3 linked regions of the Drosophila melanogaster genome follow. The protein of the gene in region 1 interacts with the protein of each later gene in a pairwise test. Each region holds a gene or a part of one and is shown in the gene's direction. Other genes may lie near its edges.

Region 1 (3,946 bases):
ATTTTGGCAGGACTCCTGGTCACAATGACGCCGGCCTTCTCCAGGGCGGCGATCTTGTCGTTGGCACCTCCCTTTCCTCCGGAAATGATGGCTCCAGCGTGACCCATGCGACGGCCGGGTGGCGCCGACACTCCGGCAATGAACGAGACGACAGGCTTGGCCTTGATGCCCTGCAATAGGATACAAAAACATTTAGCAATGAAATACATTGATCCGTGATGGCTTCTCATACCGAATTGTACTCGGTCAGGTAGTCGGCAGCCTTCTCCTCGGCAACGCCTCCGATCTCGCCGATCAGGATGATGCCCTTGGTCTCGGGATCCTTGAGGAAGACCTCCAGGCAGTCGATGAAGTCGGTTCCGTTGAACGGATCGCCTCCAATGCCCACGCACAGGGTCTGGCCCAGACCCACCTCCGTGGTCTGGTGCACGGCCTCGTAGGTCAAGGTTCCCGAGCGCGAGACCACGCCGATCTTGCCGCGCTTGTGAATGTGACCCGGCATGATGCCGATCTTGCACTGCAATCAGAAAAAACATAGTTTAAGATTATACAATTGACTTAACTGAAAGTGGAGTGAAGTGGGTAATCACTAAGTTTTGTGACGCATAGAAAGATAAGCGTTATAAATGGTAATAAAAAACGTATCGTCCGCAAATTCCACCAACTTCAGGTGCAAAGTTCAATGCCCAAATTTAAGGGTGTGTCAATGGAGGCCTGTTTATACATTAACAATAAGCAAATTGAAAACGGAATAGTAAACAGATATATGTAGTTCAAAGCGAGCGTCATACCAAGAGATAAGAAAACCACCAGATGAACGTGGACTTTGCCCTCTGGCCAAGCTTATCTCTCAAGCGCTGGAGATGTACGAACCTGTTCGGGGGCGATGATTCCCGGGCAGTTGGGACCCACCAATCGCGACTTGCTCTGGCTGATGAGGGCGTGCTTCACCTTCACCATGTCGTGCTGCGGCACACCCTCCGTAATGCAAACGATCAGGGGGATCTCCGCTTCCAGAGCCTCGATGATGGCGGCCGCAGCGCCCGGTGGTGGCACATAGATGACGGTGGCATGTGGATCGGTGGCCTTCTTGGCCTCCGCCACCGAAGCGAAGACGGGCAGTCCCAGATGCTGGGTGCCTCCCTTCTTGGGGGAAATGCCGCCGACCAACTTGGTGCCGTACTCCAGAGCCTGTTGGCTGTGGAACGTGCCCTGTTTGCCGGTGAATCCCTGGCAGATCACCCGCGAATCGCCGTTCAGCTTCAAGTTGCCGCGCGTCTTGTTGTACTGCGAATTGCAGCGCACTCCGGCCACGAAGCCATCTGAAAAATGTAAGAATGAATCATTTTAGGACTAAAGTTGGAAATTTAGTATTTTGGATATTAATAAACCAGCCTGCAAGTGTAAACTTACATAGTTACATGATAATTTCATTTGCGTAACGTTCGAGAAAGGTTTATTATTTATTAAATTCCTATATTTCTTGCCCATTTTCCAAGTACACATAATTGATTTTCTAGATCGAATGGAATATGTTCCAGAACTCATGCCATATATAGATCTATTTAAGTTGAGTATTTTCTTTAAGAATATCAGTCGCTTTGCAAGATGAAAGCTATCATCGTTTTTATTCTGTGTGAGTTTTTTTGGAGCTTATGTTGCTAACCGAAATTGTTTTACTTTTACATCCCCTTTAGTCATTTCAAGTGTGCATGCTATGAGCAAATGCAACCAAGCAATTTATCTAAATCTTGATCCTCACTGCGGAATACTTCCCGATTGTAACTTAGATGGTCCAAATCCAAGTTACCTCAAAAGGGTGTCGTGTGAACGCAAAGAAAACGGAAAACCAGGTGGGTAATTGTTGACACCTTTTGTGTTTCAGAAAACTTAATCGATTCGTTTAGGATTCATCGAACTAATTCCCGGAAAATGTCTCCATGGTAAACCGCGTTGCTCGTTAAAATAGTAATATTGTTCCAATATTTCCATGCATATATGTTTCAATTAAAGGCATTATAAATACCTATATTCTATAATTCTTCTGAGAAGCATTTTAAAGCATTAAATTATATGTAAACTACTCAATCTGCGTGCGATTATGAAAGCTTTGAGCTTCTTATTATTTCTGAGTGAGTTTCTACGCAAGAAACTGCGAGTAAATACATACGTTCTGAACTATTCAACCACTGCAGTTATGAATATATTCGAGACTGCGAATGGAAAGAGTGTCTGTGAAGGATTTATAAAAGCTGGAAGTCCATTCTGCGCGTTTGCCGCTACCTGTAACTTCCAAGGCTTGAGTCTTTTGCACGTTGGACAAGAGCAGTGCAAACTGACTGAACTGGGAAAGCCTCGTAGGTTCAATTCAATTATCGTATTCAGTTCGCCTAACCTTATTTACATGTCCAGTATTTCTGAAAATCAAGGCCGGAAGGTGTCCCCGGGGTAAACCCAGATGCAGGAAAACTAGATAAGGAAAATAACTTTTTTATATTATAAGGCATTTTATATCCTTGATCACTTTCAATAAAGATTTAACTCTTCATTTTTACCATTTTAAAAATCTATGTAATCTAAAGTTTAGAAACACCGCCTTTTGTGGCCTTGACATTTGTTAAGAAATTCCACACCTGTTGCTTTAATCGCCTTAAATACGACATGTTTCGGTAATTAGCAGCTAATCTTTGTAAAACCCTGCAACACTTGCGAAACATTCAATCTCAATCTCACCATGAAGATTTTCGGATATATCCTTATACTCAGTGAGTTACCTAAGATTTAATGGGAATATACCTATAAACATGGTATGGTTTCATCCCTGTGACAGTTGTAACAATGATAGAAGTCAATGGTGTCCTAACTGTTGAAGAATGCCAAAAGTTCTTGAACCCCCCAATTCAGCTACGGTGAAAGCAGATCCATGGTGCGGAATAACAGCGGATTGCCACTATACCTTCCTTACTGCCAGCTTCCTGAAGACCGAAGTCTGCTTTCGTAAAGTAAATGGTTTGCCAGGTAGGTCTGACCAGTTTGACTTTTAGAACGATACTAAGTTTATCCATGCTTTCAGAACTCAAAAAAGTAATTCATGCCAAATGCCCTAAGGGCAAATATTCATAAATATAGATCGGAGCTTGGAAAAAATATCCCAAACTAAATTAGAATTAAATAACTTTTTGACGAAGGCAAATGCTTGCAGCAATTATTTGTTTGAACTATTAAATTAAAAGTATACACGTATATCCACTACGAGAAAAGTTAAAAAGTGATGGTCACCAAAGCGGTGTTCCACTGTACTTGTTGCCGAAAAAAAACGGTTGTTTGTACGCTGGGTCACATGCAAGCGAACCTTGAACACAACCCCCGCACTCCCCCTCTTTAATCATTTCAAAGCCACGTATCTGCGGATTCGCAAATTGAGCCGCTTATTAATCCGAATGGAGGCCGACTAATCAGCAGATGCGTCGGAACGACAGGTGCTCCCTAATTGCTTGGATATTTGTTCTTTTGGTGCCGTAAATCCATTGAAGTTATATAATTTATTATGCTGTTAGGCTATCGGGCGTGTTAGGCAACCGATGTGGAGAATACGCACCTCGCACTTTCAGCAGCGCCCTCATTGAAGCAGCCATATTATCTGTGTGTGGTGGTTGTGCGATAAAAACAGCTTTACTCAATTAAAACGCGTTTAATTAATGCAGTGCGAAATCGGCCGAATAGTGCTGAGTTAACCACTGCGATAGTATCGATAGAGCGACTGCAAAGGCTTACGACACACCATCGATATTTTAGCTGCGATAAGTTACAATCGGGGTATTCCACAAATCGATTAGAAAGTTGAACAGTTACATTTCAAACAGCTGTTCTATGAAAATGTAATTAGCTAAATATTTTAAAAAGATAATTAAAAAAAAAAAAATAAGAAACGTCGAAAATTAATGTT
Region 2 (7,687 bases), 9.0 Mb from region 1:
TAGGGCTACCCCTTATATAGGATTTTCGAATCTCACCTAGTTGCACGAGGAAGAGTCTAACGGTATCCTCGCTGAGCGTCCCCTTGACACTCAGATAATCCGCCAAGTCGCCGCCATTGCAATACTGTAAAGAGAAAGGATGAAGAGCGTGAGTGGAGCTGATTGGGAAATTAAATTAAGAGAGACCCCCACGAGTCAAGAGTTCAGCGCGCATATAAATCTTCTGGGACCCCAAAAGACCTCAAAAGCAGAATGCAACCCATGCAAACGAATTAAGTCCAATCAGTGCGAAAATGAAAGAGTCCCGAGATTTGATTCAGTCGGTCTTTCCATCTTTTAGCTTCCAGCTGCTCGCTCGACTTTTGTGCAAATCCCAGTCAATCATAGAAAACGGCAAGGTCAAAGCGAATATGATTTATGGCAATTTTCTGAATCAAGAACTGGAATTAGGGAAATATGTTTATGGATCAGCCCAGACAGCCAGCTGCTTTTCTTTTGTCGTTTGCCCAACAAAGGTTCTGTTCCGGTTTATGTCAGCAGATGCGGAGAAAGAGTTGGGGTAAAAATAAGCTATAGAATATTGAATATGCTAGGGGAATTTACACTTGGAATTTTAAATACACTTCCATGTAATCTTTAATCTTTGAAGTAAAGCACCAGTTAGGTTTTTTAAAAATGCCCGTTCACTGCAGTGATTTTTCCATACTCATTTGAGAATAATTAATAATTTTCTCTTTTAATATATAATATAATATAATATTATAATAATAAGCCATTGATAAAGTATATGATAGTGAATGCTAAACAAAAGGCAACAAAATGTTCAAATAAAATATAAACCTCTAAGCATTCGAAAACAGCAAAAAGGAATATCAGTTATCATGAAGAAGTTTTTGAAAAACTTGAAAATGAAAATAGAATATCCCGATATGGGAGAACTTTGTAAGCAGCCCTCGCTAAAATGTAAATGAAGAGAACGAACCCCTGTCTCTCCAAAATGCCGTTATATTTTTGGCCTGAGCAAGTTGCCTAAAAGGATTTGCGATTTTTGACCTTGAGGCCGCCAATCGAAGACATGACTATAGAATTCCACACGAACACAACCACCAAAAACCAACAAAAGTAATGTGCGCGGCGAACATTTTTATCCGCTTTTATGGATTTTTTGTTTTTCATGAGAAAATATATGGACCACTTACAGTTTAATGAGCAAACAAAGCAACATTAGGCAATTAAACAGCCAATTTGAAATGACAAAAGATTTCACTGCACTCGCTTTTTGTGAAATCGCTAAAATCGCCGAAGAGAAGCGAAGAGCGAAGAACATTAAACAAAAAGTCATTGACATGTAAAGTACATAAACATAAACATAAAAGTAAAAGTTTGAAGGAAATGGTGGAATACTCGCAACGAAGAGGGTTTTTCTTCCTCTGGGGCTTTTTAACAATTTCTAAATTATATGCAATGCCATTTCCCGGCAACAAGTGCCCATGAGTCAGCGATTTATTGAAAAATGCACTTGCGTAATTAATGGGCTTCTCTGTTTTTTCTTTCTTTTTTAAATATTATTTTGAAGAATCAAGTGTGAAGAGAGCGATTCGAAAGCTAAGAGAAGACTCTCTTCAGCCGCTCTATTTCAACTTACTCAATTTTTAAGCTCGCAACTTCTGCGGTTCCGTTCGCAGCTCATTCTCAAATCGACGGTGGCATGAGTCGCACGTTATCGCGCGACAACAAAAAGCCAAGTTAGCAAATCATTAAGTATAATTTAAACGCGATACTCCTCCATTCAGTAGAATTCGATGAGAAAACTCTCTAGTGTAATACCCAATTTAGTACATATATTATCGAGAAAAACGACGACGCGTGTCATTCGAAGTAAGCGCAGTGGACTAAAGGTCAACATATTCTAGGCGATAAAAAGAACGCTGCTGCTATACATTGTTCATCGCAATCACAACACAAAGACCTAGAAACGGGATTAAAACAAGAGTTTAACTTAGCACTCGGTGAAACAAATATTCAAACAAACTTTTCACTCAAATCACGTCCAATTTAATCGCTATGATTCAGCCAGCCAAGTGTTTCACATTTTTCCAGCAAATTATGTAAATAAACTGTGAAAGCTTCCCTTTTTTCATATCAAAAGGCGGGCCGACCGACTTATAAGTCAAGTCCAAAGCAAAGTTCATTACGATCGGCGTTAATTCTAATCAGACAAGTGTGTAATTAATTTTATTAATATTACAAGCCGTCCTAAAGATTTCTTTGTACTTCCAAATCTGCTGCTTAAGTTATTATGTTGAAAATATGGCAATTGAAATTTTAATTTCTAATGTGATGTAATGCTTATTAATTAAGATAGGATTACCCAAACCGATTAGCCTTTATTTACGGTGCTTAAAGTGTGAGTTTGCTCTTTCTGTTTTCATTGAAAACATGAATTCCATAATTGTTACTATTGATAATAATCGATTAGTAAGTCAGAAGTTGGTTAAAAGCTAAGCAGAAATCGCGAGGGTATGAGACAAAGCAATTAAATATTAAAAACTGATAAGATAACCACGGCTAAACATTAAACTTAACATGAGAGAGTTTGGAAGAGAGAGTGAGAGTAAAGAAAAAGAGATAATATTTGCCGCTCTTCGAAGCTCTCACACACACACCTGTTCAGTCAGTCGAACGGAATGGGAATTGTTGGCGAATTTTTGCTCATTCGAGAATCGGCAGCGAGTGGAAAAGTTTGTGCGAGCGGAGTGAAAAATAATTATTTTACTTTTGCCAAAAGTAAGCCGGCAAATGTAAATGGACATTAATCAACTTTGAAGCTGTAATTTCAAAGCAAAACAGATGAATATTAAAAGTGCAAAGTGAAACGAGAATAGCGGTGCAAAAATAGGCCCCTAACACCTAATAAAATCTATTTTCAGCTTGAAAATTTTCACATCAAGTTTGGCAAAAACGACGAAAATGCTATGAAAACCCTGAGATAAACACAAATACAAACAACACGACGCCTTGAAGACGCAGTGAAAACAAAGCTAAACAAATATCAGTAAACAAATAATTCATAATAATGCACGTGTACTACAAGTTTGGATTACTGCTGATATTTTTGCTAAGCGTGAGGTAAAAATCAAGTTGTAATAAATATTTACAGATCTCGATATGTGGAGAAATCACATTTGTTATTCTTATGGGGCTGGAAAATAAGTAATCCATTTATTTATAGAAATCAGTAGACCCTTTCCTAAAAACGAAAAACAGGGAAGACACGGGGCAAAGTTTCCGTTTAGCAACATTCGCAGTGATTAATTCACTAAAAACGAAATAACGACAGGTGAACCAGGGTAACGGGACTTTGACCCGCCCACAACTGAGATATCAATGCCAAATGGAATACTCACGCATGGGGTTATAAAAAAAAAACAGCAACATTTTATTGATAGTCCACGGCAACCGCTCTTAATTGCCGCCTTTAATATATATATAAGGTGCACGAATTTACACTCTACTTAATCATATCGCATAATCTGGTTCTGATAAAAATAATAACAATTCCCCGGTTGTCCGATAATTTATACCGTTATTGCTTATCAAATTGTTTGCTCAGCGTTTTGAATTTCTCAACCAATATCTCAAGCAATATTGCAAATGACATAGAAATTTATAACTGTCTCGATTTTCAGATTTTTCTTTTAATTTACAACTGAAACGAGGTTTAGACATTATCGATTATGTATAAATATTCTATATTCTTGCCCTAAAAAAAATCTTTTTAAATACTTCTGAGTTTTAAAACCTAAGATAAAATTCTTTAATCGTTCTTTGCATGTTAGTACTAGTATAATTTTCCCAGTGCACATAAGCCCATTTCTCTATTGATTTTTGGGCCTTTTTAAACCTTTTCAGCCACTCGAAATCAAATGTCAAAGTAGAGTGCTTTTAAGTGCGACGCTTCCAATTTTAGTCACTTCATTCAAGTAGTCAAGGGAATTACGTCGACTAGGTCGTCATGCTTAGTAACAGTTTAGAGATCTTTCGTAATACCCATTAACTTCGGCGAGCAGCTGAAGCTTGAAGGCAATTCGTAACGTTCGATAAATATATCTTTATTATCCGGTAGGACTATATACCAATTAATAGCTACATATCAGCACTTGCGGTTCAAGTACTCGACTCTATAAAGTCGTTCATTCTGTTCATTTTGGCACTTTTAAGGATTGACAAGGCTCCTCAGCAGCATTCATTGAAACTTCACTCAAAAGTCACGCAATTGAAGAGAACTCTACATGGCAGTCAAAAGACTCACTTGAACTACTCTACTAGCCAATTTACACCTTTTTTTCTAAAAGTAAATACAACCCACTAGAACTGAAGTCGCCGAATGCACGGATAACGAACGATTTAGAATCAGACAAAAAAAAAAATGAAGAGGGGTCACAAATGACAGCAAAAAAATAAAATAAATCTGAAAAAAGTGAGAGTAAACGAAATCGTAAACTAAAACCGGTCGAGTTGTCTCTTTTGCCATGAAGTAAACTGGTTTCATCTGTGCTTTTTACTGAGTAGCTACAGTACGTTTCGAAAATGTAAGGTCAGTTAACAGAAACAAATAAACAACTTTACAGACAATAAAAGTGCTTGAGTTACAATAAAAGAAATGTGTGCTTTCTTTATTTTCTTTAGCTTGAAAGTATATCTATTTGATTTTACTTTATTCTTAAAAAACGAAAGGCAAAATATATTTTACAATATATGCATAATCTAATGAATTGCATTAAGAAGCCTTGTATCATTGAATACTTTTAATTCATTTAAGGGCTATTGCTGTGACCACGACTGTAGCGAGAAATACTTTGTATGTAGGCTTGTTCGCACATGTGAGTGTATTCATTCATGTTCTTTCGCGGAGCAAACATAAACAATAGCCGTATAATGATAGTGGGGAAAACGAATGTTTCTGTGTGGCTATGGCGTGGTCATAACGATATGGGTCAAGAGCGTTTTCAGGACAAATTAGCTAGGTGTGTTCGCCTTCAAGACGTGAGTGATGTAAGCACGTACCGCTTAGAACCCACCGACAATCTAAAGCCAAATATTGACAATTTTGGGTATTTGGTAAAACCACTTAACGAATTCGTACAGTAATTGCTCTATCAGAAATGCGCATTCGTTTGACATATAATTGCCCTGCGTTTTTCTTCATAAGCAATGTGAATTCGTTTATAAGTCGTGGAAAAAACCAAATTGGTATATTGTTGGTTTATTCAGTCGAGACCGGAAAATAATTTAATGATTACTCTTACAGCATCAGCCACACAAATGCCGCTCCAGCGGGCAGTGAGGAGGCAAATCCCCTCGAGGACTTTAATTACGGCGATGATGACTACAGTGAAACAGCGACGGGCGAGGAATCGCCGGAGACAGCAGAAAATAGACTGATGCCACAATCATCCTCCACATCGACCACCACCACATTTCGACCAATATTTAGTGAGCATAACATAAATCTATATATTCCGAACTGAAAAGGCTAATGAATATCGTTTTGCAGATATACCACGACGCAGCAACCATGTCCTGGAGCCCAGTTGCCCGCGCAACTGCCTCTGCCTGGAGGACTTCAAGTTCGTTCAGTGTGCCAATGCCCATTTGACCCATGTACCCCTGGACATGCCCAAAACGGCGGCCATCATCGATCTGAGCCATAATGTGATTGCCGAACTGAGGCCGGAGGATTTTGCCAATCTGTCCAGGGCGGTGGAAATCAATTTGAATCACAATCTGATCAGCAGCATAGACAAGGATGTAAGTGCCCAGCTAATTCTACTAATTAGATAAATTGTAACTAATGTGCTTATTATCTATTGTAGGTCTTTCAGGGATCGGAGCGTTTGAAGCGCCTGCGGCTGGCCAACAACCGTCTAACCAAAATCGATCCCGACACCTTTGCGGCGGCCAAGGAACTAACGCTACTCGATTTGAGCAACAACACCATAACCCAGCGCCTGGACGGATCCTTCTTGAACCAGCCCGACTTGGTGGAGTTCAGCTGCGTCAACTGCAGCTGGACGGAACTGCCGGAACAGACGTTCCAGAACATGAGTGGCCTGGAGGTGTTGCGCTTGAACAAGAACGATTTTAAACAGGTAAGAATGGCGAGCCAAAAGTGCGATAGCACAAGTTATCGCTCTATCGATAGTTGGCGCAACTGAAGCCAAAACAGCTGTGTTTGCCATCGCGCAGTTGTCTATATAGTTGTCCCGCTCACGCTTTTCCATTCCGACAGCAAATCAATACGAAAGCTTTCTCGCCGCTAACAAAAATAATTAAACTGAAGCTGCCGGAACTGGAACAACAGAACATCGAGGAGCTGTGCAGCCTGCTGACCTCCATCGACACGATTAGCTTCCTCAACTACGACATCAGCTGCTACGAATTCGTACTGGGCACCCCCTTCAACGGCAGTCTCATCTATCCCACGGAGCCGCCGCTCAAGGGGATTACAAATCCGCCCATCGTCGCCAGCATCACCAGCACTGCAAAGCCAGTGACCGCCACACCCGCACCGCCCAGAAGTGGTGAGCTATTTCCCATGACTCGTAGATCATCTTGCTAACGTGTCTGTTGCTCACCTCCCATTGTTCGCATTTAGCCAATCGCAATCGGGGCAAAATGGACAACAGCACGGAGCTGGTCAAAGCCGGAATCCTGAGCTCCGAGACCAGCACAAGCGGAGTCAGCGTGGAGCCGCCTGCCGAGAGCCAGACCAATCAGGTGCAGATCTCCCAGGAGGCCATCAACACGCTGCTCATCTGTGAGTACAAACTGCGGTTTAAGGTTTATAACATCAACTATTTTAAGCATCTTGCTAAACAGTTATAGTTTGAGTTATACACCTTTTACTTGCGGTACAAAACCAGACTAATTTGTTCAATTTAATCCACTAGGCATCATGGTTCTGGCCGTGATTGGCATCGTCATCGGACTCATTTGCCGCCAGGATATTGGCGGCATCAAAACCAAATGCTGCCGCACTAGCAAACCAGAGCCAAAGGATCAGGTTCATCCCACTGAGGAGATACCACTGAATAAGCTAGCCTAAGAAAACTTTCCAAAACAAACCGAAACCAAACGATCGAAGATGAAAAGAGAATCCTATCCTTCTCCTCCAGTTTCGAGAACAAATTCCATTTTGACGGCATTTTTGATAGATTATAAATAGGTATATGTATATCACGTATGTATATGGCTAGTTAGTTAACTACTTTGACGCGGTATCTAGCCTAACTATATAGTCTCTCCTACAATGTTTCCCGCACAACAACTGAACCGAATCCGTTGTTAGATTCTAGTTGTTAGTCGGAGTAGGTTAAGCCGCCTAGTCGCTTAGCGTTCTGTTCTTTAGGGGGACTCGGTAAATGGGATCCCGCACCAAAACTCCTGGCACTGTTCTAGTTTTAGATCCCAAAATCAATTTTCATCGCAACACTTAAATTAATGTAAACCCATAGATACACTAGTTGTTAGCTTTAGACTTTTGCCAAAATACAATAAAAGTAATTATTGTACATAGTAAAAAAAAAGAAAACCATTGTTTTGAATTATGAAACCAAAAGATTAAAAAGATTACATCTGATAGACTTGATTATTTACCTATATACTCTCCTCATATCACATTCCT
Region 3 (4,730 bases), on another chromosome or scaffold:
ATATTTATACCTTCTAGGCTTGAAGTCACTTGCACTTTTCAACGTATAACATGCTTTCCAACGAACTAATTTATTAAATTGCAATGCCAGAAATTCAACTAAACAGCAATACGTCCGCGCGTAGAAAAGATCTTAAAGGTACTGAGTGTGAGCAACATGATTAGCTCTCGGTGCTAAATTCGCCGGAGATAACCCAGATTAGATTTCGGTTATATTTTTTGAAGATAATGGCTTTATGTTGAATACCAGTCTGGTTCAAAAAAACCTTAAATGATATGCTAAAGATAAAAAGATATAAAAGTATGTACTTACTATTTGTACTTTGTTTTATTGAATCATTTTGTCTAGACTTCAACTTAAACCTTAATAACATAAAACACCGGCATGTGCAGAATTTAAGAAGTCGCCCAAATACAATAAATAATAATAATTTTTATTAAGACACTGAGAGAAAAATTAAGTTTCGATATTAAATTAGGAACGAACGATAAAAAAAAAAAAAACTTAAAAGCAAACACATAAGTTCAAGAACGAGTAACCGAAATTATAAACTTGAGAACGAACGTTCACATATAAACAAAAGTCTCACTTCAATCCTCAAGTATCGTTAAGATATATGACTTGTAGTTAAGGCACATTGTTTATATGTTATTAGCCAGAAAATTGGGCAATACAGCTTTACATATATAATTGTACACTTTCCTCGTAGAATATAAGGGTTAAAAACTATGAAACAAGAAAGTGTTTTTGACCCTACAAATGTGTATTTATTCAATTAAATCTGGGTATCTGATAGGAATTGAGTTCTTTCTTGTTAGTTCAAATTACATTATTTTTTTTATCAATGGAACTATAGTCAATCCATAATCAAATGGAAAGTTTGTCGAACCTGTAAAATCTGGAAATTGAGATTATTCATGCAGTTTTTGGTGGCGCCTTTTATTTTTATACCCTTGCAAATGGTACATTGATTTCATTCAGATTCGTATATTCAACAGTAGAGTCGATACAGTCATGTTTGTCTTCGTTCAATTTCAGTTAGTATACATATAGGTTGGACCACTATATCATATTGCTGTTATAGGGATAATCGAAAAATAATGGTAAGTATTAATATATGTATGAGATATACAACAGTTTTTGACCATATTTTAATTTGATGAAAATCAAAAGAAAATATATCATATAACTGCCGTACAGCCAAGGCAAACCAAATTTTAATTAAAGTATTTAATTATCGTTATAATTGTGTTCAATTATCCGCCGGCTAGATCGGAAACAGGAAGTTACTGTTGATGTATATTCGTTTAAGGAAATACGGTAAGAACGTTGGCAGCATGGGTTAATTTTTCAGCTTTTGCAAAAGCTCCAAAGTAAATGCAGGCTTGTGGTAACTATCATCGCATGTGAACAGCGTTGTACACACACACACTTGCACATTTACACCTGGGTATTGAAGTTATCAGCTAAAAGAGAACTGACTTCCTCCGATTGTACATATATATATATATATATATATATATGTATACAAACATATATATGTGTGTAGAGCAGATAACCACTGCATGCGGAGAAGAGCTTGGCAGGTGTTAGTGAGTTCAGGTGAAATTGATTATGCGAATGGGGGTAAAAAAAATATGGCCAAACAGTGAGGGAGCCAGTTAAAAAACGGTGGTCGATCCAGCCGGTCCGACATTTCAGTTGAGAAGCCAGAAAGAATAGAAAACCGAGAGCCATGAGAGAATACAGCCTGTGTATGATTGTGATAGCAGCTTTCATTGCCAGCCAGCTGGACAGCACCTCAGCCCTCCGTAGGTTACCACATTTTGGATGAGTTTTTTCAAATGACTTACTTCAAATTATTATTGCCATTGCAGAGTGCTATTCGTGCACATCGACGACGAATGACACTGGAAATTGTTTAACGAGTCCATCTACTCAAACTTCTATAGAGTGTGATAATGAATGCTATACTCTTATTAACGCAGGTGGGTTTGTATGACTCATGACCGACTATTTCATATTCTTAGACGGGGGTAGTGGCCCTCTTATCGATCAGTGCAACCAAAGGTGATAAGCGATTATCTCTTTTTCTTTTTGATAGCTATTGATCCTTGTTTTCTTTTCTAATTTCGTGCGGATCGAAAAAGGTTTATGATGTTGTGACTCATTTGGCAGTTACTGCACTACCTGGCTTTTTCGTGTTGTTGTCTAAGATTTAAATATTGCGTATAATTTGATTTAATAACGAAGAGAACGCTAAAGTGGAGTCACTCGACCATCAGATACCTCTTTATTCAGCTTGTGGGAGTTTAAGGTACACATTTAAACATTCTGTTGAAGTATCAGTAGAATCTGGCACGCTTTGTGGGCTTTAGAGTGGGCGTGAAAATGATCTGAATGAAATTAGCACAGCTTAGGCGCCACTAGAATCTGCAGGCTCTCAACTTATAAGGAATATATAAGTTATATTAGAAATCATTATAAGTTTATATTAGAAATCATACGAAGTTTTGCTCTGAACCATATTCCCTTGCATCTAGTTATTGATTTTCTGTATCCCAATAGGAACTCTAACTCGTGGCTGCTTGATTAATGGCACTGCGTGCACCTTACCATCCTGCTCGACCTGCAAGGAAGACAATTGCAATTTGAATTTGGTGTGCCAGCAGTGCCTCGGCGAAGCGAATTGCGCCACGACCAACGTGACGGATACGCAATACAATGCAGTGTGCCCCAATAATGGACAGGTCTGCGTGAATCAGTTGAATGACAACAAGACGGTGACCCGTCAATGTGGTGACCCCTGTGCTGCTGGAACGGAATCCACGTGCTCCTCATGCTCGGCATCCCTGTGCAATGTGGGACTATTCCCCGCCAATCGTCGCCAGTGCTATAATTGCTCAGGAGAGAACTGCAATGCGGTCTCAAATACCTTGGTCGCGGGATGTAGTCAAATCGATGCCGGGTGCTTCACCACCGGAACGTCTGCGAGCAACATGACCCGTGGTTGCACATCGGCCACCACGGAAATCAAGTGTGCGTCGGACAGCACTGATCCCAGTTGCCTCGTCTGCAACTCCGACTTTTGCAATAGTCCGACCTACGAACGAGAGGCCGGTTCCTGTATCATTTGCGAGAACTGTGCGGAGCAACAGGTTGCTACCAATGCGAAGTCCTGCGGACAGGCCAAGTACAACCAGGAAGTCGGGTGTTATACCATGACCTCAGGAACCAATGTTACCCGAGGGTGCCTAAACACCTTGGAGGCTGGCTGCTCTACAACCAATGCCTGCACTTCCTGCTCCGAAAATGGCTGCAATGTGGCTGCCGGCGAGTTCCAGTGCATTACATGCATTTCGAATGAGGTTTCCGGCTGCTGGTCGGCCAAATATCCGGACACGCTCCCTTTGATCAACTGCCCCAATGGAACGTGCTACAGCGGAGTCTGGAGTAAGTTGGTACCAAGTCTAAGCACAGCGAATCAATGCTATAGTTTTCAAAGATTTTATTTTATAATGTAAAAGGGTATTCCCAAATTGCATTATTATTATGCCAGCAAAAATCCTAACAATTGCCTTTCAACATTTTCCCCCAGATGAACTTGGAGTGCGAGGATGTTTTACCGCTGCCAGCCACCTGATGCAGTACCAGTGCAATGCCAAAGTGGAGGCCCATCAGTGCGAATTGTGTACGGAGAGCAAGTGCAACAAGGTACCCTTCAATGGAGCAGGCGCACTCAGGAATGTGGGCGTGGTCGGCCTTCTGACGGGAGTGGTGATCGCTCTACGCAGTGCCCTGTAATCCAACCACCTCCACGTAGTTGGATGATCCAATCAAATTACCGGGTGCCTGGGTCTATGAGTAATGTTAACTATTACAAAGCAACAGACAAAAAGACATAACCTAATTATAGGAGCTGAAGCATTTTAAGAACACTTCCATAATCCCAAATAAATCATTTTAATAAAACAATTACTCTTTCACAGTAGTTTAGTAATTATGTCCTTGGAAAACCCTGTTTTCATTGATGGCTAGTGGTAAAAGAGTTTTCAACCTGCTAGGCCTTATCAAATAAAGAAATAATCACAACGCCTTATCAACCGCAGTACCATTAATAATATACTTTGTACATATATGTGTGTATATTTATTGCATCAATCAAAATGAGAGTTTATATTAACAATAGTTCGAAGAAATTTGTTTGGGTGCACTAGAAGAGCCAGTTGGAAATGTCTCAGAAAGTATTTGTAGCATTCTTAGGTAACTCAAATTACATTTTCCATTACATGACGATGGTGATTTCGCCGAATTCCATAATTTTGGTTTTCAATTTGCCATTATTAAGCTGAACAGGCCTATAATATAATCATAAGTTTGCATTTTTCACTCCTAAAGAGCCAGCCGGCTAAACAGAAGATCATTAGACTTGAGTATATTATTCGCGATCCTGCATTCGTGGCCAAACCATTTTTATCTATTTCCACATAGTTGCAATCGTCTTCGAAACACCTCTCACAGAGTTCTGCATGTTTCTCGCAGTGTTCCAGTGAACTCTCGTCCATGTCGGAAATGCAGCTTCTCACCATAAAGCCATCTGGTCCTCCAGCACTGCTGTTGAAGTTGAAGTACATAGATACGCAACCGTTCAATTCGCCTAACTTTATGTGGCACATCTTTTTGCCCTTCCTAGTTCTGGTTTTCCCCTCATTGGGTGAGCAAAATTTACA

The links. The genes of interacting proteins can lie anywhere in the genome.
Region 2: the proteins of Acp63F (region 1) and CG42709 interact in a two-hybrid assay, tested with the Drosophila melanogaster proteins (one large-scale study listed by BioGRID).
Region 3: the proteins of Acp63F (region 1) and CG10650 interact in a two-hybrid assay, tested with the Drosophila melanogaster proteins (one large-scale study listed by BioGRID).

The regions. Positions count from the first base shown.
Region 1 is NT_037436.4:3,814,008-3,817,953, reverse strand, and holds Acp63F (accessory gland protein 63F), read left to right. Parts: upstream 1-1,599; 5' UTR 1,600-1,608; coding exon 1,609-1,636; intron 1,637-1,697; coding exon 1,698-1,853; intron 1,854-1,907; coding exon 1,908-1,969; 3' UTR 1,970-2,115; downstream 2,116-3,946. Other genes in the region: Scsalpha1 (Succinyl-coenzyme A synthetase alpha subunit 1), read right to left, coding at 1-170, 233-517, 874-1,322, 3,599-3,635. UniProt on the Drosophila melanogaster protein: Responsible for physiological and behavioral changes in mated female flies.
Region 2 is NT_037436.4:12,788,505-12,796,191, forward strand, and holds CG42709 (uncharacterized protein), read left to right. Parts: upstream 1-1,687; 5' UTR 1,688-1,878; intron 1,879-2,713; exon of another isoform or gene 2,714-2,930; 5' UTR 2,931-3,076; coding exon 3,077-3,129; intron 3,130-5,311; coding exon 5,312-5,496; intron 5,497-5,557; coding exon 5,558-5,811; intron 5,812-5,876; coding exon 5,877-6,152; intron 6,153-6,292; coding exon 6,293-6,584; intron 6,585-6,658; coding exon 6,659-6,820; intron 6,821-6,953; coding exon 6,954-7,108; 3' UTR 7,109-7,580; downstream 7,581-7,687. Other genes in the region: Atg1 (Autophagy-related 1), read right to left, coding at 37-124.
Region 3 is NT_033779.5:18,992,860-18,997,589, reverse strand, and holds CG10650 (uncharacterized protein), read left to right. Parts: upstream 1-1,655; 5' UTR 1,656-1,735; coding exon 1,736-1,811; intron 1,812-1,877; coding exon 1,878-1,988; intron 1,989-2,568; coding exon 2,569-3,453; intron 3,454-3,598; coding exon 3,599-3,804; 3' UTR 3,805-4,230; downstream 4,231-4,730. Other genes in the region: CG46465 (uncharacterized protein), read right to left, coding at 4,359-4,730.